4 linked regions of the Diceros bicornis minor genome follow. The protein of the gene in region 1 interacts with the protein of each later gene in a pairwise test. Links are inferred from orthologs where the notes say so. Each region holds a gene or a part of one and is shown in the gene's direction. Other genes may lie near its edges. The genes, in order: GRN, FAM76B, FAM131C and keratin-associated protein 26-1.

Region 1 (7,544 bases):
GTTTTACCTGGCAATGCAAGATCCTGGGGGGAGATAGCCTCTGTCCTGGGGTAGCTGTGACTCTTCTATGTGGACAGAACAGTAACTCTGAATGAAGAAAACACTGAGGGGTGATTGGAAGAAACAGGGAGAGGCTGAGAAAAGTGGAAGACAGGATAGAGAAGGGAGCTGCCCAACCCCTTTATCCAGACCATCACCTCTGAAAGCAGCCCTGGGGCTGACTGGAGGAACCTCTTAGCCAGAGGGACATATCCAGGGGTCTCTCCGTGCCAGGCTCCTGAGTGGGACCTCCTGTCAATTACGGTGCCTCAATCCAGCACAAGCCTGGTATCTGAGGTCCAGTTCAGCTGGGGCTGCAGCAGGAATAGAAATGAACAAGGAAAAACATATTTATAACTTCTTAAGCAAGGAGGGAAAAAAAATGCAGAAGCCACAAAGGAAAAAATTGATTGCTAGATTTCCGATAACATAACAACACAGCTTCTGACCGCAAAAGATACCATAAATAAAGATAAAAGACAAATGACAGATTGGAAAGAAATATCTGCACCATATGTAATATCCAGAATATATAAAGAGATCTCATAGTCCAACAAGAAAAAGAAAAACACTGTAGAAAAGTGAACAAAGGATAATGTGATGGTTAGATTTACGTGTCAACTTGGAGGGTGTTTTTTGATGAGATTAACATTTAAATCAGTGAATTTTGGCTAAAGCAAATTGCCCTCCATAATGTGGGTGGGCCTCATTCAATCAGTTGAAGGCCTGAATAGAACAAAAAGACTGGCCTCTCCAAGCAAGAGGAAATTCTCCAGCAACTGCTTTTAGACTTCATCTGCACGATCAGACTCTCCTGCGCCTCCGGCCTGCTGGCTCACATTGCAGATTTTGAACTTGCTGGCTTCCATTGTCACGTGACTCAATTCTTTTCAATAAATCTCTTTCTATATACACATCAATTGGTTCTGTTTCTCTGGAGAACCCTGACTAACACAGATAAGAACAGGCAATTCACAGAAGAAATACATATGCAGAATAAGCATAGGCAAAAATGCTCAACTTCCCTAGAGGTCAAGGGAATGCAGATAAAACAACCAGGAAATATCTTCTGTCATTAGATAAGCAAAAAAAATTTTTTAACTGGCGTATCCAATGTTGGTGAGTATATGGGAAATAAGTTTCCCAAATAGTGTGACTGGGAATGTAAACTGGAAAAATTTTCAAGACTGGAGAGGAGGTCCTCACTGAGCACCAGTTTCCTCATTGCATAGAAAGGGGGTTGAGCTAGATGAGGGGCATTAACATTTCAAATGTGCATACCCTTTACCCAGCAGTGTTACTTTTACAAATTTAACTCCCACATGTACACTCAAAGACATGTTCACAAATATTCATTGTATAATTGTTTTTGCAGTGCAAAAAATTGGAAACACATAAAAGTCCATTAAATGAGACGGGTTATGGCCAGCCCCAATGGTGTAGTGGTTAAAGTTCTGCGCTCTCTGCCTTGGAGGCCCGGGTTCATTTCCCAGTCTCGAAACCACACCACCTGCCTGTTAGTTGCCAGGCTGTGGCAGCGGCTCACAAAGAAGAACTAGAAGGACTTATAACTAGGATATACAACCATGTACTGGGGCACTGGGGAGAAGAAAAAAAATGAGACTGGTTAAGTAAACTACATAACATCTATAGCATGGAACACTTGGCAACTGTCAAAAAGAAACTGATAAATAAATTAAAAGACATCCCATGTTCATGGATAGGAAGACTTAATATTGTTAAGATGGCAATACACCCCAAATTGATCTACAGATTCAGTGCATTCCCTATCAAAACCTCAGCTGTCTTTGCAGAAACTCATCCTAAAATTTGCATAGAAATTTGAGAGGCACAGAATAGCCAAAATGATCTTGAAAAAGAAGTTGGAGGACTCCCACTTCTGTCAATTTCAAAACTTGCCAAGCAGCTATAGTAATCAAGACAGTGTGGTACTGGCATAAGGGCAGACAAATAGATCAATGGAATAGAACTAAGAGTCCAGAAATAAACCCTCACATTTACAGTCAATTGATTATATCAAAATTAAAAATCACAAGGCCTGGCCAAGGGGGCTGGGAGGGCTTAGGGAACGGGGCAAATGAGGATAGACACTTTGATGTCAAATCTCTTTGTGACTCTGGAAGTTTGTTTCTTTTCAGTCTTTCCTATTCACAAAATGATACTCCCTCCTTAAAAGCAAAAAGCAGAGGGAGAGAGATTCCTGAATTGGAGGGTTTAAGGACGCTGGAACATTTCTTGAGGAATGTGGGAGATGTTCTGCAGTCCTCGTGGGAACTGTACCCTCTCCACTGAAGTGGAGGTTCCCTGTATCTAGTGTGAGAAGCTGTTTAGTAACTATATTCCACATTTCCTTGCCATAGTGATCAGAGTAACTGCATATGATTCAAGTTCTTCTGAATGCTCAGGTTCATACTTTGACTATTAACTACTGTCCTTTAAGAGTAATGCTGGTAAGGCCCATTGAGTCTTCCAAAACTGTTTCCCCCTATACTCAGTGTCCCCGGGATGTTGGGTTTCTAAGTTCTTCAGTCTGCTTTTTACAATTTTTCCTATTAAATGCTTTCAATCCTTGCTAAACTCAAAGTGATTGCTTCTAGAAACTTCCACCCATACATCCCCTGATCTTTCTATAATCTACTTTTACTGGGAAATCAGATGACAACGTTTATTTAAAATATATGAAATAAGAGAAAAGAGGCTCTGTGGGAGGAAAACTTTGAGTTCTTTCATGGAGAAAGTTTCTGATCCTTTAGAGAGGGTTTCTCAACCTCAGCACTACTGACATTTTGGGCAGAATAATCTTTGTTGTGGGGGCTGTCCTGTGCACTATAGGAAGTTTAGCAGCATCCCTGGCCTCTGTCCACTAGATGCACCTCCCCCCAGTAGTGACAACCTGGAACATCTCCATACACTGCCAAATGTCCCTGGTGGGCAAATCACCTCTTTAAGGATTTTGTGATACTTGTTTCAGTCACTCTAGTTTTTTTCTTTTTCTGTGTGTATTTTTTTTCTTGTTCTGTGTAGTTCTGATTAATAGGTACATTTATTGATCTGCCTAACATTTCATGAAAAGTGTGTGTGCGCGCGCGCGCGCGCGCGCGCGCGCGTGCATATGAGCTTCGTCAATAGAAGCATAAGCTGTACCTTCTTGCCTCGGGATACAGAGGAAAGAAAACATGCACAAATATTACTAGCCTGCAGAATAGTCCTGATTCTCGGCAGGAGCCTTATCCACTCTCTGGACCTTCTCTGGCCCCAGGCTGAGCACTGCTTCCACTCAATTCCTCAGCCCTGCCACTGCTTCCCTACCCAGACTCCCACCACCCCTGAGCGTGGCTATTTGTTCCCTACCCCAGCCTCACTCTCAGCGCTCTCCATCTACTCTGCATAACCAACACTCCCCTTCCTTCCCAGGCACCAGGCTTTCTCTGGGCCTCTCCTCTCTCCCCGTGCATCTCCTATCACTCATCTCGGCCTGGGCCAGGCCCTCTGGCACTGAGCAGTCTGCCTCCTGTTGCTGGCTAATCTGTTCTGTGTGGTACATTTTCTCTCCTCACCCGACCTGTCAATTCCTGGAAGGCAGGGCCGACTGAAACTAGGAAGCCACTTCCACTATGCACCCACCCCAGCCCAGCCTTGAGCCAGACACACAGCAGCTCCTCAAGTCCACTACACTGAACTTGGCATTCAATCCCTGCCCAAGGCTGCCCTTCCCATCTGGTTTCCTAACGCTCCTCCCATCACCCCCTGTCCAGCCACTTCTCCAACCTCTCCCCACCTGCCAGTTAAAATCCTCCCAGACTCAGCTCAATAAGGTGCCCCCAAGGTGGAACGAAATCTCTTCTTCCCCGCCTAGAGCCAACCTACTACCTCTTCCCATACACATCCATAGCACTTGGCACACGCCCTTGTACCTTAAATTAGATTTAATCTGAGCCTGTCTTCCATTCTCCACCCACCCACACCCTGCTGCGAGCACCTCGAGGAAAGTGCCTGAGGGCTGTTCATCCTTGCCCTCACAACTCTCCTTCCATCCTCTTTGGGGCCTGGCCGGCCAGCATTTAATCTGAGTTTGTTGAAGAGAACAGAAACAGGATGCGCAAATGTCCCAAATCCAGAAGCGGACATCCTGTAAACGCCCTTGAACGCACTCTCTAAGGGGCAGCTCCCTTGGCTGTCAATGTCCCCAGACAGACGCTACTCCATCTCGGGCAAACTCTACCAGGCGCCCACAGAAGGCGGGGAGGCGGGCACCCCCATCCCGGCGGAGCAGGCTAGGGCATCACATGCTTCTCCAATCACATGATCCCTGGAAACAGGGAGTGACGAGAGAGAAACGAAGGGAGGGAGGACAGCGAATTGAGTAGGAAAGAAGCACCGCCTTCCAGCCTAGCCCCGCCTCTAAGCAGGCGCGTAGCCAATGGTAGCGCGACACCCCGGGCCGGCTGGCCAATGGCAACTGAGGTGGGAGGGCCATTGCGCTGCGAGGCCCAAGTCCGTGAGCTCCCGGGCTCCTGCTATCCAGGGAGCGCCGACCCTGACGCAGGTAGGGCGGGCGGCGGCGCCCACCTCTCGCTTGCTCCTTCCCAGGGGCCCGCCCAGGGAGACATGGAAGCTTAAGGTTCCTCCGGAGTTTCAGCCAGGAGATAAGGGAAGAGTCGCTTAGAGAGTTTGGGGGATTTGCGATGCACTGGAGGGAGTTTTATGGGGGGTGGTAGTAAGCAGTAATTGCAGTGACCCCCACTAGAAGGGAGCTCTCTCCCCTCCAGCATCCCCGGAAGCTGCAGCCGCTTCCTCAAAGCAGGGACCACTCCATTCTTGAGCCGGTTCCTCCCCCGTGGGCAGGTGCTGGTGGTGGTGGGTAGTCCCCGCGGCAGCTGGGAGCGAGAGAGACGCCCACCCCTGGTCCCGGAGCTCAGAGGGCTGGGAGTGGGACTTGAGACCCTGGCCTCCTCAAAGGTAGCAGGGGCTTGGGAGTGGTGACTGAACCCCTGGGTTGTGTCTGGCTCTCCCTTACTTCCTCTCGTGGGGGGTGGGACAAGCTGACTTCCGCCTCTCCCTGCCACTTTTCCCTGCTCACTCGCAGTTGGGTTGGCTCACTTTTTGGGAATCTCTCTCCTCCTGGCAATCGGAGTTGGGGGGTGCCACCTAGTGGAAGATGACGGAGGTGGGGGCTTGAAGAGGCTCCTGTCGTCGCTCTCTACTGGGGCAAGGTGGGGTGGGGGTGAGAGAGGCCTCCACTCAGAACCCTGTTGAGAGGAATTAGGCCTCTCCTCCTCCATCCCTGGTCCTGTGTGTGCATGTGCGGGCATGCGTATTCAGTAGATGCATACACTATACTCCCTAACCTCAGGATACCCAGGAAGGAAAATATACATACATAAATCACTAGGGTGCCGAATAGTCCGAGGTCTGTGCAGACACGCATCGCTTCTTGCCTAAGCCAGGGCAGTGAGACAGCCTGTGGAGGGTCGAGGTTGGACTCCCAAGAAGTGGGTGGGCCGGCTGTGTATGCCTTGCCTGTGAGCTGTGGGCATAGAGGAGAGGGTGAATGGGGCTGTGGCCCAGGACTGTTCTTCTTCATCCTTACCTGGCCGCGAGATGGCTTCCTGGTGATGGTCTTTGAGCTGGGGAGGGGACCCTGAGGAAAGCCAGGCGAGGGAGAGGGGATGTGAGGGCCTGGGCCAGTGCGATTCCCTGCCACACACTGTGTGCTGTGTCCACACACAGACTCGGTGGGGAACTGAGGCCCGGAGATAGGGAGCAACTTTTGAGGCGCTCTCGGTCAGTGGTGGCAATTCTAGGACGAGGACCCAAGTGCAGTATCCAGGCAGCCCCTGCACTCCCCATGTCTGTCCTGCCTGGTCCACCTGCCCAGGAAATGCCTCTGTCACCTTCCTCTGCTTGGACCCCAGGCCTCTTCCCTCCTGGGGTTTGGGGTCCATTCCCGGGCACTGTCCATCATGCCACTTGTGAGGTGAACCCAGGTCCAATATGCTCTGGAGCCATCAAAGCTTGTCATCTCCATGACTTGATATGTGACATGAGCATGTTACTTAACATCTCTGAGCCTCAGTTTCCTCCTTTGAAAAGTAAAGGTAATAATTACTACTTTGGATGGTTGTTGCAAAGAATAAAGAAAATAGAGTGTTGTAACTGGCTCCCAAGGGGTTCAATAAACATATTTGGTTTTGCCCCTCTAGGCAGCGTGACATCCCCTGGACCTGCCCTATTCAACCAGCAGGGTGGTGGCACTTGGGGCAAGAGTTGTAGGAAGTGAGAGGCTGCTCCCCCCCCCCGGAGAGACTGAGGCTCGGTTCCTTCTGACTGGGATCTGCAGTCAGGTGGGCACATGTGGTCTGTCTCTACCTGTGGCTGAGTTTCGGCTCCAGGGTAGGGGGAGACGCAGGGGTAAGAGGGTGGTATCTTTGGGGAGTCTGAAAGGGCCTGGTGGTGTTGGGGGTCCTTAGAACACAGGTGTCTCAAAGGCTGACCCAGCCTCTGTGTCCCCTTCCCTGGGTGGGGAGGGGACAGTCAGTGGGTGGGCTGTGGCTGGCCTCTGGGGAAGGCAGCTGAGACTCCACTGGCCACTGCACTTCCCTTTTCACAACTTTCTCAACCCTATGGTTTCCCATGTCATCATGTGACCTCCCCTCCCCCGCCAGCAGGCCTTAGCAGGGTGCAGGTGTGAGCACAGTATTGATTGAGGAGGCATCTGAAGGGGCTGGCTGCGGAAGTGGAATCCTGGCTTTTCTTCCGGGGTGGGGGACTCCCTCCTTGCACCCTAGCCCTGTCCTCCTATGGCTACTGATGCCTTCCCCACCCCCCACAGGTGGCCCACATCCCCACAGATCAGACCCACAAAACTCATAAATCTTCCTATCACGTGCCCACATCTCTACACACTCACCCACAGAGACTCAGGTGTTAAGCCACATGGTGGGGACAGAGATTCACACGTGTACTCGTCAGCATTCATGCTCATGGGTGTACCTGCGCTGGTGCACGTGTGACACACACACAGGACATATGTAGGAAGCTGAGTCTCAGGCCCCACACTTTCTTGCTGCCTGGACAAGGAGTTGCTGGGGAGGCTCAAGTAGCCCTGGGCCTGGGGCTGGGGAGTGACTGGCCCCAGAGTCAAGGGTGGCATGGGCTTAAGCTGGTTTCCAAAGGCCTCTTGTTACTTTGCAGGCAGACCATGTGGACGCTGGTGAGCTGGGTGGCCTTAGTGGCAGGGCTGGTGGCTGGAACACAGTGCCCAGATGGTCAGCTCTGCCCTGTGGCCTGCTGCCTGGACCCAGGAGGAGCCAGCTACAGCTGTTGCAATCCTGTTCTGGTGAGTGCCCTTCAGCCCACGCCAGAGCTTGTATCATGGGATTTCCCAAAGGGGCATCTTGGATTGGCCAGAGGAGGGGGACAGGCTTGGGTCCTTCAGTTTATCCTCTCCTCTCACTTCCCAGGACAAATGGCCCACAGCACTG
Region 2 (7,679 bases), on another chromosome or scaffold:
AAAGAGCTTTTCCTTATGTTGGTTATATCTATTGATGTTTATCATATTAAAAACTAAAACTGAGAAAATTTATTTACTAATTTAAAAATAATAAACCCATGATGTTACCATAAATATAATTTTTGAGTGAAAAATAACTATATCATCCAAAAAAATTAGTGAAAAGAGTGGCATTCTCTTACATTTTTGCAAATCACTTTAATTCTTAGCTTTAAAAAAAGCCGCTGGATTCTTACATTTGCTTCTGCATTCAACCTATCAGACATGATGTTTTGGTTGATCTATACGAGGAAATCTGGTCTCCCACAAAGCAGCTGGCTAAGGAAGGACACTGTAGACCCCCTGGGAGGGTCTCAGGGACCCCTAAGGTCTTAAGACTACTCTTTGAAAACTGCTGCTCTAGAGAAATTTTTGCACGTGTGGAACATATAGGGATGATCACAACAGGATTGTTTATAATAGCTGGCACACAAACTAATGAACAAACCCTAAAAACCCCAAAGGCCATCAAGACACTATACTATACAGAAATATAAAAGAGGCTCTGCTATTTACTAGTTGCGTAACCTTGACTTAACCTCTCTGTCTCACTTTGCTCATTTGAAAATGGAAATACTGATGCCAATCTCATAAGATTATTGTGAGGATTACATGAGTTAATATATGAAAAGTATTTAAAACAATGACTGCCAGACAGTACTATATGAGTGTCATATACTATTACAATCTCAAAATGTATGGTGGTGTGTGAGAGAGCAAGACAGAGAAGTAGGACGATGCAAAAAGGGGCATGAAGTTATTCATTTTTATTATTCTCAAAAATAAATTTTTTATATATTTAATGTTATAAAATCTATGATATATTCATAAAATATTTTTAAGAGATATATGGAGCAGGTCGGTTAAAGGGTCTGGCTAAAAAGCCAGGGAGACCACTTATGAGATTAGCTCATTAAGTCCAAAGTGACAGAAGGGTGTTGACCATGGTTACTGGGAAAATAAAAAAGGAATGACAGAAAAGACATTCTTCTCTTTCAACACTGTGCTGCCTGTACTTCTATTTAATATCATTATGCCCAATCATAGTTGTTTCCCTGCTGCTCTCCACTAGTGAAGTTGATACATAGCAATAGCACAATAAATGTTACCCACTGTTGTTACTCTTCTTGCTGCTGTTGCAGCGAAATACTGAAAAAAGCCATTCGAATGTATCACCTACTCCCATGTTGTCCACATTTGAGATTTACATGGTAGCTCTTTCCTAACAACTATGTTATTTGTGAATCTACCCGTTAAAAATCCTTGCCTGGTAAAAGCACCTTTATTTACTACAGCTAGCTCCATGCTGAATACATATTAATTGATAAAGTTCACAACCCTGAAGTCTGAATATGAATAGCCTTCTGAGTTCATGTTGTAGTTTTAAAAGGTCTTTTTGTCTTGTCTTCTTTTTGTGTTGTCTTATTTTACAATCAGCTGTTTGTTAAGCTAAAGTGCTTTTTTAATTCTGCTGGAAATGCCAGCCTTATTTCTCACAGGACAGTTAAAGCATCTAAGCGGGCTCATATCTTATACACCGATAAACAAAATTTAGTCGTTTTTACTTTGAGACATAGTGACTTCCAAATTAGACACTTTGATGTAGCAGGTCAAGTTAATTAAGAAGGCTGTTATACTTTGACTTGTAAAGGGCCCTAGATATTCTTAGTGTACCCTTGATATTTAGAATCCTTTTCAAGCTGAGTTTACCATATAAAAATATATATGCTTTCTTATTAAACACTCCACGGGATCTCTGTCCAGGCTACCTCAAAGACTAAGGGTTGACCATTAGATAGTCACTGGTAGAGTGCAGCTGAATTCAACACTCATAAGAGTATTCCTTGAGCAGTCTCCCAGTGCTACATTTTCAGAGCAGTGAAAAGCCCTCTTCTCCCAATTAAGTTTAATCACAACTCCTACGCAGATAATCTCACCCACCTACTTAGTGACACTTCTTCCTAACAGTCTAACAGTGTCTCTCTTATCTTCCCTTTTACTGACCTAATTCCTGAATCAACTCCAATTGCTTCATTCATTCTTCGTCCTTATTCTTCCCAAAACTCTCTGCAAACTTATTACCCTCATTCTGCTGAAACCCTGAAGGTTACTTCTGGCCTCATTATCACAAATCCTGACAACAGTCATCAAAAGCTGAAACTGAGGAGAAGTGTGTCTTCCCCTAGGTGACTCTGCTTGCCCTAAACTTTTTTCCCCCGTTAGCTTCTATGACATAACTTTACCCTGATATTCTCCTGTCTTCTTCCCTCACTATCCTTTTTTCATGTTTTTACCTACGTTTACAATTCATCTAGCCCAACTCTACTTCCACACTACCTCTACTCATTCCAAATTATTTCAAGTTTCCTAAGAGCACCTATTGTCTTGTCACATGCCCCAAAATGCCTGTGATGCTTTTGTCTCCTTCCTTTTTCTGTTCTTGCCACAAGCATTTACGATTCCTTCATCATCCAGGTAGCTCCATCTTCCCTTCTAGGAAACTGTCTCTAGCCTACCCAAGCACTGCTAATCACTGTCGCCCAGGTTATTCTAGTATGGTAGTATTAAAAACTGTACTGTGTAATAATCTAATTACGTGTAGTTTCTCTTCAGTGTTTTGCTCTTTCAGAGCAGGGATTCTATCCTATTCAACTCCGTAATCTTAGAGTCTACAAGTGTGCCAGGCACTCAGCATCTGCTAAATACAGAAATAATGGCTCTCACTTCAGCCTCCTCACATTTATTGTCTATCTGTTCCTAACGCCGCGGTTCCCAAAATGCTAAGCGTTCGGTACTCCAATTCGCCAATTATTAGTGAGTGAACTGGCTGATGACCCTTGTGGAGGGGAAACCAGTATTTAAGATCATTTCCCCCTGTGGCCTCTCAAAAACGGCATTTACACACTGCAGTCATAGTAACAAGGTGGGAGGTGGGAAGCGCGCGCTCTGGGTAGGATAAGCACAGAACAAAGTTACTGGGAGGATGGGAGGGGGAGGAGCTGCAGGCAAAGGAATCAGCATAAGCAACGACGAGGATGCACTAGAGGCTGCGGACTCGGCCACAGCTGCCAAGCAAGCCGACTAGCGCGCCTACCTGTTCGCGGCGCGTTTCCAAGACCGGCCGTTACACCCACGTGACCAAAGGAGAAAGGTTTTCACAGGCCAGCGTGTGGGTACAGCCATCCCAGAGAGCCCTGGCAATGTTTGGCAACCTGGGCTGCCAAGCCGAAAGGTGAAGGGGGCATGGGGGACAGAGCCGGGCCAGGCCTGTTTCAATGGAAGACAGGAGCCTCGACAGAGAAGCACTGGACGTCAGGGTAGAACGGGGCGACCTCAGCGTCGCCTGCCGTTCCCCAGGATGGGGTGAGACGCTGGCCCAAGAGCTCTCTAAAGCGGGAGGAAAAGCAAAGAGGCGCTAGGGCCGACCTGGGGCTTATTCGAACGTCAACCGCTTCTTACCGAGAACTGAGAACCAGAAGTCGCAGAGACCGACGCTGCCGCCATCTTCCTGCCTGCCCAGCGGACCTCCGCAGCCCCGCAGCGGTCCGAGTTCTCGTGCTTTTCTTCAAAATTCGAGAGCCGCCCGCCAGGGGCGACCCTAAGCCGAACCCCTGATGGAAGGGGCTAGGTGGCTGGTGCCAGGTCCAGAAGCCCCAGCCACACACCCCCACAGGGACGCCCACGCTCAGAGCGGACACAGAAAGGGCGACACGCCCTAAAGGACGTCTTGAACAGCCAATCAAAAAAACGGACGTCTTCCGGGAGTAGGAGAGAACCCGCCTCTTCCCTCGGTGACGTCACAAGGTAGCGCGTAGCTGAGACTGCGGCGCGGGTAACGCTGCAGAATACTAGATGGCTCAGAGGGGACTCTACAAAGGGGCGGGCCTTCTCGAGGAGGAAACATGGGTGAGGGGTTGAGTTGTCTCCGGTGGCAATTGGATCGAATGACTGACAGAGGATAAAAGCGAATGCGAATTTCAAACACTCCATCGGTTCTCTCGGACTAACGCCGGAGAGAGCGTGAGCTTGACTCGGGGACGCCTCTCCAGGTGAAGTACTTACCTTTTGACCAATAACTAATAGAATTAGGAGGGGCTTAATGATTTGGTCCAATAAAAGTCAGGGGAAAAAGAGTAGAGTCAGAGAGTAAACCTTCGTGAACATTTGCCCAATTGGGTTGGGGCGCTCTCACCCAAACCTGTCACTAGCTGTTAGAAATGGCCGCGACCGGGACCTTTGGGCGGGGCGAGTTTAAAGCGGCTTTCGCGCGCTGAGAGCGTCGGGCTGTTATTGGCCAGCGACTTCCTCCCTTTGTGGGAGCTCCCTGCGTAGCCGGGGTTAGGCATTGGGAGGAGCGACCGAGAGACGCAGTACTCTCCCCAGCCAATCAGGAATGGGGAAGGGGGCCGAGAAGGAAGCGGATCCGCTGCCGCGCAGCTAAACCGCAAAGAACTATCCGCTTCGTCTCCCTCCGCCGCTATCGGGGCCTAAGCAGGAGCGGCTGGGTCGGCGTCACTTGGTGGGCTGGGGCGGAAGTGGAGGCGGAGGGAGACGGCGTCGGCCGCAGGGCCCTGGGATCTCGCAGCAAGGCCCTGGTGGGCGCGAGGCGGGGGGGGGGGGGAGGAGGAGGAGCCCGCGGCCCGGGCGGCGGTGGCGGCTGCGGCGCCCGAGTTCTCCGTAGGGCCCCGCCTCGGAGCGGGCGGCGGTGGAGGAGGAGACTGAGCAGGATGGCGGCCTCGGCCCTGTACGCTTGCACCAAGTGTACCCAGCGCTATCCCTTCGAGGAGCTCTCCCAGGGCCAGCAGCTCTGCAAGGTCCGTGGGCGCTGGGCGGCGGGCGGGCGGGGTTTCCTCGGCCGTAGCCCGAAGGTGCTGGGTGCCCGCTGCACTGCAGCGCTGAGCCCTTCGCCGGCGCCTTAGGGATTTGGAGCCTTCGCCTTCTCACCCGGGGACCCCTTTTTCCGAGGACCTGGGCATCAGCTGCGAAAGGCCCCTGGGAGGAAGACAGAATACTGCTGTCTTCCAGGCGGCCCAGGAGGGGCCCGGGCCCCAATAACGTTCAGGGGTCTCCGGGGTGGGGCTGAGTGAAGCAGCCACCTGTCTATGCTGCAGAGACCCTGGGGTGGAGATGTTTTCATCTCGTTTTTCTGCCTGGTCTGTCCTCTCCTTCCATCGGGAGGCGGGGGACGGTTTTTGCACTTTCTTGCTAGGAACCTGAAGCCGCAAAGCTGATGGCATCCTTCTTCCCTGTCCAGGAAAGCGAAGCGACTGGCTTGGGAACAGAATGCTCTATGATTTGGAGCTCCTCCCATCCCATTAAAGCCGGGATGCTGTCTGTGAGCAACGGTGCAAAATAATAAGTAGTTTCACATTTAACCAGTTCTTGAAATCGGCCCTGACAGCTTGCTTAATTTATCTGCAGCATACCCCCCACATCTAATAAAGACAAAGACACCTATGCCTTCCCCAAGGAATTGTGCTGTAATTGGCCACTTACATAAGTCACTCAATTGTCTACATCGGGGGACAGATTTTATAGCTGTTTTAGACATTTGACTAGGTTGGGTAATAATTTTCTACTAGAAAAGTGAAATTTAGGACTTTGAGATAGATACTGACTAATATATTGTTTTATTACAGGAATGTCGGATTGCACATCCTATTGTAAAATGTACTTACTGCAGATCAGAATTTCAACAAGAGAGGTTTGTATACTGAACAGTTTTTGATTGTTAAGGACAAAGTATTGTCTGTAAGGAATACTTGGGGGTTGTAATCCCATGTTTGTATTCAAGTTTTTTTAAAAAAATGGTTTAGTTTTTTAGATTTTAAGTTGTAAACTTTTTATGCATGATGAGAGAGAGAATGTTGACAAAAATTTAATGGTTATTTTACAGCTAGACTTCAGTTTACACATGAGGAAATAAAGAATAAATTGTCGCCTGAGAAATGTACAGCCTTGCTAACAAAAAAATGCAAATATAGATAGTTACTATTAAGCTATAAAAAAATGGCAAAACATTAGTGCTGGCTTGGACATGAAAAGAGGTCTTGAGTGTTACCAACTACCTTCCCCGGGTGAAATCTAGTAACTTGTTACCAGTGGAAGAACAGCACATACTTTTTTTTTTTTTTTGTGAGGATGATCGGCCCTGAGCTAACATCTGCCAATTCTCCTCTTTTTCCTGAGGAAGACTGGCCCTGGGCTAACATCCATGCCCATCTTCCTCTACTTTATATGGGACGCCGCCACAGCATGGCTTGACAAGCAGTGCGTCGGTGCGCGACCGGGATCCGAACCGGCGAACCCCGGGCCGCCACAGCAGAGCGCGCGCACTTAACCGCTTGCGCCACCAGGCCGGCCCCAGCAAATACGTTTTAACAGGGTGATTCTTAGAGAATCACAGCACATACAAGAGAGTAGCCTAAGACAAGAACAAATGATTTCTTCATGAGTAGGTGTGGACATCATATAGTGGAGAAGGCCCAGTGGAAGGTAAGGTAGGCACTGGTATGTAATGCTATACCTAAATAGTGGCAAGTGTGAAGATTTTGAAACTAGATAGGAAACATTAGGAGTTTTTGTTTAACAAAAAGTAAAAAATAAAAATATGTAAAAACATTTATCTTAAGCTATTGGAAGAAAAGTAAATTTGGATAATATACAACCCTAAAAGATACTTATGTTTGTATTTTCTAAAAAATCCTTGGTCTATATTAGAGTAAGTTTTAAGTACTGCTAAAGCAAATTGTTCTCTTTCACTGTTTGCTTTAGTTCAACATTGTGCTAGTTACTCAGAAAGCTACATAAATTTGATCATCTATATACAATTTCCTTTTTAGCAAAACTAATACAATTTGTAAGAAGTGCGCTCAAAATGTGAAGCAATTTGGCACGGTAAGTATGTCTTACATTTTCATTTCATTTTATTGTTACCGGTCAATTAATCTTTTTCACAATGATGGACCTTTTAAAAAATATGTATTGCTATGTTCTGAAATATTTCAACATACCAGAATATTTCAGGGAAGAAATTATTGGTATATTATAGTCATGATTAGTCAAAGTGCTGGCCTTAAGGCTCTATAAAATCCTGAATTGTCATTTGAACATCAAAGAAAATTAAGGTATGTTTGTTATAGTTTATGTTGAGTGTGCTTGTGCCAATATTTTTAAGTTGAAAACTCACCTATAGTATGTATTTCTTGAATCATCTGTACCTGTATATGATAAGTTGCTAAATGTTTTTTGAATAAATGATATAGTAATTAAGCTAACCAGAATATTAAATTAGTAAAACTTTATTCCTCCATATACTGGATACATCAAACTTTTCTATAAACGCATACATTTATTTTCATTCTTTGAGACCCTTTTCACGTGTAGCTTTTGTATTATATAACATGATATGCAAATCGTAAATAATGTTTCTCATGATCATTAAACTATTCAATAGAATAACAAAAAGTTTCATAGCTCTAGAAATAAATGTTAGTAAATGAATAGAAATATGATAAATGTCATTGAATGCGACAAGGCAACATACTTGACAGAAAAATTTTTTGCCTGTTTCCTTAATCCAGAAATATATTTGTACACTGGGTATATTTTATGCAGCAAATGTTTAATTTTTTTAAATG
Region 3 (7,855 bases), on another chromosome or scaffold:
GCATGAGGCACAACCTTGAATTGTGGCTGAGTCTGAGTTGCCAGCGTGGTACTTTCTGGGTCAGTCGCCAAACAGAGGAAGGAAAATGAAAGCAGTCAAGAATTGTGCTGTCTCGTGCTGCCCCCTGGTGGCCACCTTCTGCATAACATTGACAGCTCAGGAAAAGCATCTGAGGGGAGAGGGCCTCCTACCTGCAGAGATCCTGAGACTCAGGAGTCAGGGTCCCAGCCTCAACCCTGAGAAAGGGATCTTGTCGTGAAGCAGCCCCCGTGGACCAGGCCTGGGCCAGGCATTTTAGAGACGAACTTGGGGCACCTGTTTACTATCCGGGCCGGAAGCTTCCAGGGCAGGGGCTGGTCTCATCCCAGTGTCCCCAGTGCCCAGCACAGAGGCTGTGTCTCCCCCATCAGACTATGGCTTACCCTTCTCTCTCTCCCTGTCCCACCTAGTCTAGCTCATTGCCTGGGGAGAGGCGGAGGGGACTCCGACCCGACACCTCACTCCAGCTAGAAGCCCCCATCCCGAGCCTGGAGCTGAGAGTGGGCACATTCTGTGGTCAGCCTGTGGCCTTCTTTCCCAGGCTTCGCAGACAGCGCTGGGCCTCCAGAGAAACAAGGAACTGTACGAGGAGCTTCATTCAGGCCTCGACCCCACCCGAGAGTGACTGGAAAGAAGCTGGTTGGCAGAGAAGAAAACAGAGGATGGGGCTTCCCCCTGCTCTTTGGATAAAGGCCAGATCCCATATAGGTGCTCGCTCCTGCCACCGCCTCCCTCTCATCCCCCGTGCTCCAGCCACCATGGCCCTCTCTTCCTCCTGGGAGTTGGTCCCTTCCTCCACCTCTAAGGTGGCCCATGCAACGTTATCTCTGCTAAGCCACGTCCCACTCGTACTTGAGCTGTGGACTCATTCACTGTCGCTTCTCCTGGACGCTCCCTCCACGCTCGACACCACATTGAGTCCTTCTCTTCTATGCTCTCAATAGATCTTTCTCAGCAATCCCAGGGCTGTGACTCTCAATTCACCTGGGTCGTTACTGGATGAATGCCCACCTCCCCCATGAGGACTATTCTCCCTCCTCCAGTGAACAGGGGCCTCATCTCTCTCATTCACGCTGTAATCTCAGCACCACATAGTGCTGGGCATATAGTGATGCTCAATAAGCATTTGCTGGATGAATGAAAGGTTGAATCAGTCAGTCCTGCCTATAACCGCTTTCTAGATGTGTGACCCTGGACAAGTCTCATTTTCTTGCATTCAGTCAACAAACACTTATTGAGCATCTACTACAAATTGTTCTGGGCACAGGAGTCAAACCCAGATCTGGCTGGCTTCCAATTCTGTTCCCTTACTGCTTATCCAGCTCTGCCTTTCCTGAGAAAACCAATACTGAGGAGATGTTTGAGGCACGAGGTGGGAAACCCCAGTCTGAAGTCTCATCCTCTCCCTCTGGTCCCCCAGACATCATATATGCCAGTCCCCCAGTACCTCAAGCATCCCTCCCTCCATACCCTGGTGCACACAGAGCCCTCCAGCATCTCTGCCTGCCAACGTCCTATTCAACCTTCAAAACCCCATCGCAGGCCGGCCCCGTGGTTAAGTGCGTGCGCTCCGTTACTGGCGGCCCAGGGTTCGGATCCCGGGCGCGCACCGACGCACCGCTTCTCCCGCCATGCTGAGGCCGCGTCCCACATACAGCAACTAGAAGGATGTGAAACTATGACATACAACTATCTACTGGGGCTTTGGGGAAAAAAAGGAGGAGGATTGGCAATAGATGTTAGCTCAGAGCCGGTCTTCCTCAGCAAAAAGAGGAGGATTAGCACGGAGGATGTTAGCTCGGGGCTGATCTTCCTCACACAAAAAAAAAAAACCATCGCAGGGTCACCGTCGCCTTGAAGCCATCCCCACAACCCTTGGCAGAAGCAACTCTCCCCTCACACTTGGCTGGCGTGGGGGTGCACCAGTGTCCACTCTGACCCGAGCTATTGATGCACACGGCTGCCCTCGTGCAGTGCCGTCCCCCTCCCAGGACCGCCTGGGCAGGGACTGGGTCTGACTCATCACTGAACGGCTCCCGTTGATCAATCTTTCCCTGACCAAACCCTGCATCATCTGCTCTCCATGCTCCAGGGCCCAGCCCAGGGCTGGGCACCCGGGGCCAGTAAACGTCCGTTGTTGAACAGAACAAGTAGGGCAGCCACAGGAGTGGGGACTCTGCCCGGATCCCCAAAACCATGACAGGCGAATGAGGTTCGGGGTGTGAAGGGCACTCTCTCCCCTGGTCCCCTCACCCAGCAGCAGCCTCCTCTCTCCTCCCCCCAGTGGATGGATGGGGAGGAGGGTGCTGGGGGAGGGGAATGGGAGGTCACAGGGCAGATGGGCTGTGGGCTGAGCTGAGAAAGGACAGCCTGCCCCTGGGGAAGGACAGCCACATATCTTAGAGCTGTCTGGGAGTCTGGGAACCATCAGCTTCAGCAGAATTCCAAGGACAGGGAAGGTGAATGTGGGCATGCAACAGGGAGCTGCCCACCCTCACATGGTCCAGTCTCAGGTTAGTGCCAGGGCTGGGCTGACAGGCAGGAGACCTGGGTTCTCGTCCCCATTCTGCCATCAATTTGCTGTGTGACCTTGGGCAAGCCCCTGCCCCTCTCTGAGAGCCAATCTCTACAATGAGAGGATTGATTCAGTGTGGAACTGACCAGCATGAATGCTGGAGGCTGGGACAGCCAGAACCACCCCACCTCGCCCAGCCATCTCTCTGAGCTGGTGAGCAAGGGACCCCGTGTGGGGCCGCTGCCCAGCCTCGTCCACCTGTCCCTGTCTTAAGCTGAAGGGGACACAGTAGACTCCTCAGGCATCCTTTCCCCTGTGAGCTGCCCTGTCCTCTCTGCAGGGGTCCCCCTCCCCATCCCCTCTGCCCCCAGAGCTGCCAGGCTGCCAGCTGGGAGCAGCAGCAGCTGTGACCAAGCTTCCTGCGTCATGGTGAGTCAGAGCCCTCCCTCCAGGCCAGAGCCAGTCACTCCACCACGGAAAGAGGAAGGACACTTCTGCTGCCACAACCCCGGGCCACACAGGACAGGCCCCCAGAGCCTGGCCACAGGCAGACTCGTCTTCCTGTTTCCACACAAGGGCAGGCACACAGCTGACACTGTGCAAGGCACCAGGGCATCCATGGTGATCACAGACTGTCCCTTCAGAGCTATCCCCACAGGCCAGACGGGGGGGGGGGGGCGGGGGGGACAGGTCTGAGATGGGCGGGGCATGGGGGTGTCTGAGCACCCTGACCAGACACAGCACTGACTCCAGGACTAGCATGTCTGTCTTGTTCGCAGTGGCGCATAGTAGGTGCTTCATACACGTCCACTGAATGGCGGTTCTTTAGGCTTCCTGTGGGTGTAGGGAAGCTGTGGGGAGGTAATAATACTTCCTACCTGTGTTCACCGTCACTATCAATTATCATTAGCCGTAAGTTAAGTATGTACTATGTGCTGGTCATTTTGCACATATTATCTCATTAATCCTTACAGCAACCCCAGGAGGTGAGATTTTTACCCTGGGTTAACAGATAAAAAAACTGAGCCTCAGAGAGGTGAATCAACTTGCCCCGAGTCACACAGCCTGTGTGAGCTGAGCCCACACTCACACCAGATCTGCTGACACCAGTGGCCAGGGCCACTCTCCACCCAGACTTGACTCCAGAGAGGTGACCAGGCCTGGAGAAAGAGAAAGCGGTCAGCACCCACCCCCAGCCCTGTCCCCCACCCCGCCCCCGGCAGTCCCACCAGGCCCAGATCCTGCCCTGCTGGAGGCCTCCAGCTCTACCCCACGCCCCTGCCTCAAACCTCATCCAGCCTTCCAAACCTTGCCCGGCCGTCACCAGGAGTTTGAAGGGACCAGTGAACCTGGCTTCCTCACCTGTGAAAGGGACACAGTGACACGCGCCCACCTGGGGCACAGGTAGGTGTAAGGATGGAGTGAGACCAAGCAGGTGAAAGTGAGGGCCCCGGAGGGAAGGTTTGCTAAGGCGCTGGTGGGGGAGGGTGTGTAAATGTGAGCGTGTATACATATGAGTCTGTGGGTGTGTGCTAGTGTGTGTGAGTGTGTACAAGTGTGTGGGTGTGCAAGTTGGCATGTGTGGGTGTGTACGCGTGTGAGAGTGTTTGTAGGTACGTGTGTGTGTGAGACTGAGGGTGAGTGATTAGAGCCGGCCACTGTCGCTCCATTAGACAGGAGACCCGGGCTGAGGAAAGGCCCGTGCCTCAGTTTACCTTGCCCTGGATAGGCCCAGAGAGGCCGTCGACCCCCTTCAGGTGCTACGGGAGACTCCTGTCCAGCGCGAGGCCACTAGTACACTATCTCCACCCTCCGTACTCTACCCCGGGCCAGCGTCCCCCAAATGAGGAGCTGACGGTCCAAAGTCGCTGTCCCTCACAGCTAAGGGACCTCAGGCAGGCATCTGACTTCCATGAGCCTCTGCAAAATGGGCGCAGTGGAACTATTGTTACTGCGCTCAGCCGGGTGTCCGGTCGTGGTGGTTGAGTTAACGTTATGTACTTTGTGCCTAAATGCCGGAATCTCCCCGTCCCCACCGCCCCCTTCCCTGACCTTCAGCCCCTGTCACCAGGTGGCGCGGGAGGCCTGAGGGCCGGAAATTGCCCTCCCCACCTTCTGCCCTCCCCGCCACCCCACCCCCTGTCCCCCCCACTCCCTTGCACCCCCCGCCCGGGCTGCCGCAACAGGTGCGCGGGGCTGGCGGCCACGCAGGGGGCAGGGGCAGGGCACTCGGGGCTCGGGGCGCGCGGTCCCCGGGGGCCCCCGCCCGCCGTGCCGCCCGCGGCTGGCAGAGCAGGAGCAGGAGCAGGAGCAGGAGCGAGCGCGGCGCGGGAGGCGGCGGCGCGAAGAGCCGGGCGCGGCGGTGGTGGCGGCCGAGCGAGCGGAGCCGCAGCCCCTTCCCCGCTCCTCCGCGCGCCCCTCCGCCCGCTGCGCCCGCGCGCACCTGAGCCCCAGCCCGCGGAGACATGAGCGCCCAGCGGCCCGACGCACCCGAGGCGCAGCGGCCCGGCCCCGCGGCCCCGTGATGGGCTCCTGCGTGTCGCGAGGTGAGGGGGCCGCCGGCCTGGGGGGGGCGGTGGCCGGGGTCCCCGCGCCCGGGACGCGCGCACGTCCTCTCGACCGCTCTGAGGAAACTAGAGGGGTAGGGGAGCGACCCGCCCCTCCCGGACTAAGCCGCACCCCACCCCACGCCCGCCGAGCCCCAGGGGACGCGGTGCCCCGAGGGGCACAGGGCGCGGGAGACGGGGTGCTGCTTGGAGAGAGAGCGCAGCGAGGTCACCGCATCCCCAGACCCGCTTGGAACCACACCCCAGCTGGTGGCATGAAACAGAGTCCCTTCTTTCCCAACAGCCACACACCCCCTGCCGTGCGTGTGCCTTGGAAGGGAAGGAGGTTTCTGGTTGCCCTTGGCGTCTCTGGCGGGACGTCGGGGGCACCAGAACACAGATTCACACCCCCTCAAGACACAGGCCTCACTAGCTCAACGCTCCCCCACCCCCCACCAGCTCATTCCCTCCTCTTACCCCATGCCCCTGTCTTCAGAGTCCCTGAACCCCATTGGCAGGAAGGGCTTAATGGAGGTGAACAGGTTATAAAGAAAGTTCCCCTTCCCCCACCCTTATCCCCAACTCCTCATCCCCATCGCCATCTGAGGTCAGGGGGTAGGAAGGGAGAGAGACAGCTGATGTTCCCAGTAAGCCCTGGGCCTTTCTCTCTGTCTCTGTGATTTAAAAGCCGCCCTGACCTGGCACACTCTGCTCTTGTCCTGTGCCAAGCCCCACCCCTGTCCCCAGGGTGATGCCCGGGAGCTGGAGTGAGCTGCCCTGGAGGGTGGCGGGGGAGTCTTACACAGAGCCTCGGGGATGGGCAGGTGGATCCAACAGGCCACTGGGCAACATTTTAGAAGAGGTTGGCTGGGCTGTTCTCCCACCTGTCTCTTCACCCCAGAGTGGGATGCGGGGCAGGGCTGGGGGTGGAGGTGACTGGGACATTGGGCTGAGGCTAAACCCACCGACCCAACCTCAGGGCCTTGGGGCCTGCTACCCCACCTGTCTCCCCCAATAGCTTATTCAGGTATAGAGGAATGAACAGGTCTTTGGGAGGAGCTGGGCAGGCCCTGGAGGGGGCCTTGCCCTGGGAGGTGTTGATGAAGGAGCACAACATCCCCCCCACACACACCTGCCCATCCTCTGGCCTCTAAGGGGCTCTGCTCACCGGTCCATGTGGGACATTCAGGTACGTGGCTCAACATGTCTTAGGAGGGTGTCAGGGCTGGGATTGTGGGTGGAGGCTAGACTGTGTGAGGTTCATTCACTTACTCATTCATAAGCTGATATTAGCATGACACCTACTGTGTGCCAGGCACGGTGTAGGCTCTGGGCTTCCAGCGGCGATGAGCCCAGCACAGCGCCTGCTCTCGTGAGGCCTGCAGCCCAGCCAGAGGGGAAGGGAGTTTCAAGAGTGAAGTGTTTAGAGTTCTTTAGGACAGACAGGCTCTCAGTGTGTCTCCAGAAACCCCGAAGGCTCTGGGCAGGCTCCGGGTGTTGGGGATCTGGGATCTGGTGTTTCCTTGGTGACTGTGTCCCTTCCCCATCACTTAGTCATCCCATGCCAGGAACTGGGGGCCCAGCCCCTCATGAACTTGCCTGTGAGCTGCAGACCCGCTGAGCACAGTGCAGAGGCCAGGGAGGAAGAGAAGCCCACCAAGGTCACACTGCGAGGTGGTGTCAGGACTGGGGTGGGGCCCAGGTCCTCTGAACCCCCACCCAGTGCTGGCACCCTCTGCCATGCCTGTTTGAGGTCACACCACCCAAGACGGGCGTTCTCCACCCTTCCTTCTGTGGCTTGGGCTCCCGAGTGCCACCTCCAGATCTGGTTGTATATTCTAACCTTGTCTCCCTCCTGAGAGGGTAGGGCCACTTAGAGCTTAATGTGCATGCAGAGAAATGAGATAAAGATGAAGGTATAGGGCTGCTTGAGCAGAGGACACCGTCGTCCCGTGAACCCCCGAGTGGAGGCCGTCCACCCCTCTGTCACTAATAGTCTCAGCGTACTTATGGCTTACCAGGTACTGGTTGGAACCTTTTGGGCACAACTAGTTAATTTGGGGTACATACTATCACAGTCCCCATTGTACAAATGGGGAAACTGAGCAGAGGGGAGTTGAGTGACTTGGCGGGGCCACATGGCTAAGAAATAGCAGAGGCGGGACTGGAACCCAGTCTCGCGGACTCCAGAGCCTGGGCCCTCGGCCTCTGCCCGGCACAGCCCGCCCTCAGCCCGGGTGCCAGCTCCTGTCCTGCTCCTCCCCAGCTGCAGGCTTCCGTGAGCTTCTGAGCCCCACACCTGGCCTCCACACCTGCACCAACTGCTAATAGCAGCCCCCTTAGTCCACGCGTGTCCTTGGGCCAGGGACGCAGCCTGCAGCCAGGCCAGGGGTTGGAGCCTCATGCTGATGCCTATATGGAGCCCGGAGCCTGCATGCAGCTGAGGTCACCCCAGCCAAACCTCAAACCCCAGGTCCAGGCCACACCTGGGAGAGCCAGCCCATGCCAGCATCGGGCAGCAGTTGCTTCTCCGTGCCAGGCCAGAGAGATCAGGAGTGCAGCCTGGAGCCGGCCAGCCCAGGTTCGCATCCCTGCTCCACCATTCTCTGCCTCTGAGACCTCAGGAAGTAATGTAACTTTGTGTATGTATCTCAGTGTTCTAATCTCTAAAATGGGAGTAATGCCAGTATTGATGTCCTAGGGTTGCTGGGAGGGGATTAAATGACCTAATCCATGTAAAGCCCTCTGATCAGTA
Region 4 (5,375 bases), on another chromosome or scaffold:
TGACTAAGTAAAGGTCAATTTTTATTTGATAAAGAAAACCTAAGTTATATTTTGTGAATGCCATGATATTAGTCATCAAATATTTACTAAGGATCGACTAAGTTTCCTCACATGTATTGAGAATAATGATCACGCCTACTCAAATAGGGATGCTGTGAGGATTAAATCAATTAATACATGTAAAATACATAGAACCGTGTCTAGTACATAATAAGGATTCTGTAAACAGTAGCTAATAAGAGTTCTGTAATATAATCAGGAAATAAGACACATAGAGAAAGAACATTTTGCTTGCAAAGCAAAGGAGTGTGTGTGTGTGTGAAATAGGTAATGATAAATATACAAATTTAAAGCTGGAGAGATTTAGATTGGTAGGAATGTATTTACAAAGAAGGGGCTAATTTAGCTGAGGTTTGAATGATAGTTAAAATGAAAGAATTATTCCAAAGGAGAGGAAGAATAGGATGAATGAGGAGATGATGTAAAATGAGGATGGATGTGGAGTAATTGGAGACACGAACAGACAACCCAAAAAGAGAAGAGAATCTCTATTGGGAAGCAGAGGAGGGCTAATCAAGTGTTTGGACAATTCTCTGTGGACAAAGGGGAGTTATCAACATTTTTGAGTAAGAGAGTCATACGATAAAATTAATTCTAGAAGTATTAATCTAAATGCAGTATTCAAGCTAAAGAGAAGACAATAGGAGGCAAGATGGCAGTGAGAAATGTATTTGTTCACCAAAGGGGAACAAAATCCAACTTGAATGATGGCAGTGATAACAGAAAAGGGAAAATGGATGAAAAGACATAATTTTAGTGATCAAGGAAGAAAAGCCTTACAACAAATTTTCACTCTGTCCAATCTATGCTGCAATTTAATCACAGCACTCTCTTCTTGAAATCAGTTATTGGATCACCACACCTATAGAACAAAATCTTAACTACTTCCTTGATGATTGGATTAGATTCAGCGTGTGAATCTAGGTTTAGTTACTACAACTTGCGTCTAAGAACCCTTCACTGAAAGCACTGTCGTCATTTTTTCTGCCTTTATACCTTTTGCTACAGCCTGAAGTGTCTTTGTCTTTCCCAAACCCTCTACCATTTTCTCTTATCCTTCAAAATCAATATCAAATGCCAATTTTAGGTGAAGCCAATGAGCAACATTTGCTCTTTTCTGTACACCATTTATAGAACTTAGTAAGCACTGACATGAATTGTGTACTTGTCTTATCATATATACAAGATTGGATGTGTCTGGCAGCAGAAATCAATGGTATCTTGGTATTATTGCAAGCATCTATCATAATGTTTTGCATATACAAGATGCTCAACAAATATTTGTTGAACGAATGAATGCAAGGTATGTCATTTATTGACATACCTTTATTGTTGCAATGCTCTGAGGATTCTTTACGTCTAAGAGAGAGAAATTCAGGATTGCTTCTCTACAGTAAGACAGGTAAGGACCCATAATTCATTGAAGAAACAGTAACAAAGTGGGTAAATCTGGAGGAGCACACAGGATGCCCAGTTCTTTAGTCTACCTCTAGCTCTTACATCAGAAGAGCTTGAAACCTGTAGTTTATAGGAGCCTGCTAATGACGTACCTGCTGTTATGCCTACATGAGCTCTTCCCTTTTAGTGACTCGGTCACTATCAAATAACATCAGTTCAACATTTGTTATGTTAAGGTACAACTTACATTCAGGGCACTCTATTTTCTGAAATTCCATGGATATTTTTGCTGTGTTACCCACCCACAACAACAAAAAAATGCAAGTCTTGTAGGGCGCTCTAAAGGAATTAAACCCAAGGTGGTACTCTTTAGAATGGATTAAGGATGCCAAAGCAAGAAAATAAATTATTCTGGTATAGTGTTTTGCAGTACACATTTAACTTTTTCTTATATCTCAATGTATCCTAAAAATGATACTAGACATTACTAATATACCCATTGTTCCATAAAATAATACTGATAGGGACTGGGGATCAGAGTAATTATGAAAATTGCCCAGGGGCACATAGTTAGTAAATGATGGTATCAACATATCTCTATATAATGTCATATCAGATAATGGGACAAAAAACTGTTTGCGGGTTAAGGACCCCCAAGCAAATGTTCAAATGTTTGAAACCCTTTTGTTCAAATATTTTTCTTCATTTCAATTACTGTAAATTTCTTCATCTCAAGTTTTCTCATGAATACTTGAAATAGTAAAATTTACTGTAAAGAGTTGTGAGGATAAAATGACATTGCACATGTGGGTACCCGCACTGCAAGGTGTTGCCCAGAGTAGACGCTAAATGAAGATCAGTTTCCTCATATTCTACATCCCTTCTCTTCATGGAAAAACATTCATTATACATAATGAATACATAACATAAACAATACACACACACACACAAATATATTGATGTACTAATGATGCAGGTATTGGGCTCTTGCTTATGTTAGAGAAGAGCAGGCACAAGGAACATCAACATATAAATCTGATAAGCATTCAGTTAAATATAGCTGTACCTATTACTAACGCCATTTAGCTGAGGCCTCCAGGATATCACAAGAAGACTCAAGCAATGTGTACCAAGAGTACCAGGTGACAAAGCTGGGGAAGTGGGGATTGGGGTTGGGGGGACTCCTCAAACACATCAGGTACAAATCATCAAAGGGTATTGTTCCCTGACCTAAAATACTGAGATAATTTCATCCTGTCAGTACAGGCCCTCAGAGACTGTATCACGTTCTTTTCATATTTCTATCCTTGGTAGTAAAATAGTTCTATATTGGCTTGTAGAGAAACCAATCTTCTATTTCAAAGATTCTGCTCCTGGACAGAGGGAGACTCAATCCATGTGGGCGTTTTCGTTAAACATTAAAATAGAAGAAAGTGCTGTGATTTCCGTTGAATTTCTAGCTAAAGGGCATTGGAAATCAGATCCAGCAGATAATTAAAATTTCCATTAAAATAGCCATTGGAGCCACTAGATATGTTGGTAGATGAAAAACACAGTGAGAAGATTGAGGCTAAATGCAACCATGTTTTCTAAACCAGTTTTTACCAGAAAATATATCCCCAAATTACCTTCCAAGTACTCATACTTAGGAAAACTTTACATTTATTCTGATGCTATTGCTCATGTAAAGCAGTTTAGAAACTCCTCTCTGGAAATTGATATGAGAACCAATGGAAGAAGCAGAACCACATCCACGTCCACGTCTTAATCATTATGTCCCTTTTTTTCCCAAGAATAGTAGTTTTCAGTTGGGACGTGAGTAACCATGAAATACATAGCCTATAATAACTATGAAAAATGTCATTTGTTCAACTTTCTTTAAGTGGTTTTATTTGCTTTTGTCACAGAAGGATGTATAATTTTAACTGAGCCCAATGTATTTATCTGTATTAAGAATACTTTAAACATCAAATAAGCTTTCAGTTTGACTCAGTTTATTTATTTATTGAAATGAAGAAAATGGGCTTGATTTTCTAAAATGAAGATATTTTGGTGGGAAGTCACTTTCTACCAGGATTCAACAATAAAACAAAGTACAAATTTGGGTGCATTGACATTTTCCATTTTGTACTACTTTTAAACTCTTTCTGCCCCAAACCATATAGGTTATAGGATTTTTTACATTCTTTTACAACATACTTGCTTTTAAGTTTCTTTTTTCGACAATTTCCTAAAAGAATAGAATTTCCTCTCAAAGAGAGCTAACTTGTCATTGTTTCAAAGAAGTATTCTACAACTTTTGAAGACAAATCCAAGAGAGGCATTCTAAGAATGTTTAGGCAGAGGTGGTTATAATTGGAATACGTGAATGACCTTCAAAAGTATCTGTTTGGGTTGGATAATTTAAGAAGGAGAGATCCTATTAAAATTCAGTCACTCTGCTCTGTAGAAATGATGGAAGGCCTTGCCAGGAACATCCAGTTTTATGAGAGGTGGGAGCACCACTTCCGGGCTATAATGAAGAGTTCTGAGGCAGCCTCACACAACAAGGAAGAAGAGAGTCTGTATACACGATCATCACCTTCCAGGGATATATAAGGGATCAAGCCAAACGAGGGGCACAGCGAAACTTGAGACACTCGCTTCTTTCCAATCAACCCCAGCCTGCTCTCGGCACCTCACCATGTCTTGCCACAACTACTGCTCTGGAAGCGACAGCTTGGGATCCCTCAGAAATCTGTGTCATATTCCTCTCACCTCCTCCATTTCCCTCTGCTCTACAAATGTGAGCTCTGGAGATGTCCTCTGCTTGCCCAGCAGCCATCAAGACCACACCTGGCTCCTGGACAACTGTCAAGAGACCTGCAGTGAACCAACCAGCTGCCAGCCAGCCAACTGTGAGCCCAGCAACTTGGAAACTTCTCACTGCCCCTCCACTGCTTACTACGTGTCCGGACCCTGCCAAGGAACCACTTTTCTTCCGGCTGCTTCTTACGTCTCTAGCTCCTACCTCCCAGCATCTTGTAGACCTCCGAGGTATGTGTCCAGCAGCTGCCGACCCCTGCGCCTCCTCCCTTACGGATGCCGCCCCTTGGGTTGTTTGCCCTGTGGTCCTCAACCCCTTAGCGTCGTGTCCAGCTGCCTCAGACCTCTGCATCCTCTCTCCATTGGATACCGACCTCTGACCCATGTGTTCAGCACTTGTCATCCATCTTGCTCTCCACTGGGAGGCCAGTACCCTCCTTGTTCCAGTTTATAATCATGCTGAAGATCCAAGGCAAAAATTCCAACTCCATGGACTTTTGCTTCTTTCCTAGTAGTGACTGCATTTTCTTGGTTTTACTGTGCCTGATCTAATGCAAGCTGCTCTTTTCACATTTTTAACTCTTTTTTTCATCTCTCTCTGACATCAAATTATTTGGTTTACAATGTTATTCATATTGCTTGGGTGTGGGAAGAATTTCTTTGGTTTATGCTGTAATAAATGAGATCAAATCAGAATTAAGATTCTGGTTCTTCAATTTGTCTTTTATTTCTTCATTTTAACGGAGAAATGACCAACCTCAACTTCTTGCAAAATAAGTAACTAGGACTTGGGACACTCAAACATATGTTCTTATCTGACAATAGGGGTATGGCTTGATGGCTTATTCTTTGAGCTGCTTTCTAGATCTCGCCTCCTACGTACTTGAGAGACCCCAAATGTTCTTGGTGGAAGTTATTTTGAAAAGGCGAGATTAGGAATGATCTCCTTATCTCTGTCTTCCAGTGAACATACTTCCACCAGAATGTCCTTTCTAATCACAAACTGAGCCATATTTCAGGCCTGCTTAAGCGTTTGATGGCTTCCTATGATCTTTTCCCACAAAATAAAAAAAACAAACCCCTTACCATGACATCAGCTTCCTTCATTGTCT

What was found.
Region 2: the proteins of GRN (region 1) and FAM76B interact in binary tests that used the Homo sapiens proteins (3 or more experiments, as listed by UniProt). The link is inferred for Diceros bicornis minor from reciprocal best matches to the Homo sapiens genes GRN and FAM76B.
Region 3: the proteins of GRN (region 1) and FAM131C interact in binary tests that used the Homo sapiens proteins (3 or more experiments, as listed by UniProt). The link is inferred for Diceros bicornis minor from reciprocal best matches to the Homo sapiens genes GRN and FAM131C.
Region 4: the proteins of GRN (region 1) and keratin-associated protein 26-1 interact in binary tests that used the Homo sapiens proteins (3 or more experiments, as listed by UniProt). The two-hybrid records come from large-scale screens. The link is inferred for Diceros bicornis minor from reciprocal best matches to the Homo sapiens genes GRN and KRTAP26-1.

What each region holds. Positions count from the first base shown.
Region 1 is NC_080757.1:42,918,911-42,926,454, forward strand, and holds the start of GRN (progranulin), read left to right. Parts: upstream 1-4,535; 5' UTR 4,536-4,606; intron 4,607-6,263; 5' UTR 6,264-6,404; intron 6,405-7,254; 5' UTR 7,255-7,261; coding exon 7,262-7,399; intron 7,400-7,523; coding exon 7,524-7,544. UniProt on the Homo sapiens protein: Secreted protein that acts as a key regulator of lysosomal function and as a growth factor involved in inflammation, wound healing and cell proliferation. Regulates protein trafficking to lysosomes, and also the activity of lysosomal enzymes.
Region 2 is NC_080746.1:38,219,393-38,227,071, forward strand, and holds the start of FAM76B (protein FAM76B), read left to right. Parts: upstream 1-4,674; 5' UTR 4,675-4,766; coding exon 4,767-4,853; intron 4,854-5,678; coding exon 5,679-5,743; intron 5,744-6,881; coding exon 6,882-6,936; intron 6,937-7,679. Other genes in the region: CEP57 (centrosomal protein of 57 kDa), read right to left, coding at 3,499-3,543. UniProt on the Homo sapiens protein: Negatively regulates the NF-kappa-B-mediated inflammatory pathway by preventing the translocation of HNRNPA2B1 from the nucleus to the cytoplasm.
Region 3 is NC_080752.1:34,029,748-34,037,602, reverse strand, and holds the start of FAM131C (protein FAM131C), read left to right. Parts: upstream 1-4,831; 5' UTR 4,832-5,078; coding exon 5,079-5,100; intron 5,101-7,855.
Region 4 is NC_080766.1:31,087,015-31,092,389, reverse strand, and holds keratin-associated protein 26-1, read left to right. Parts: upstream 1-4,074; 5' UTR 4,075-4,141; coding exon 4,142-4,717; 3' UTR 4,718-4,854; downstream 4,855-5,375. UniProt on the Homo sapiens protein: In the hair cortex, hair keratin intermediate filaments are embedded in an interfilamentous matrix, consisting of hair keratin-associated proteins (KRTAP), which are essential for the formation of a rigid and resistant hair shaft through their extensive disulfide bond cross-linking with abundant cysteine residues of hair keratins.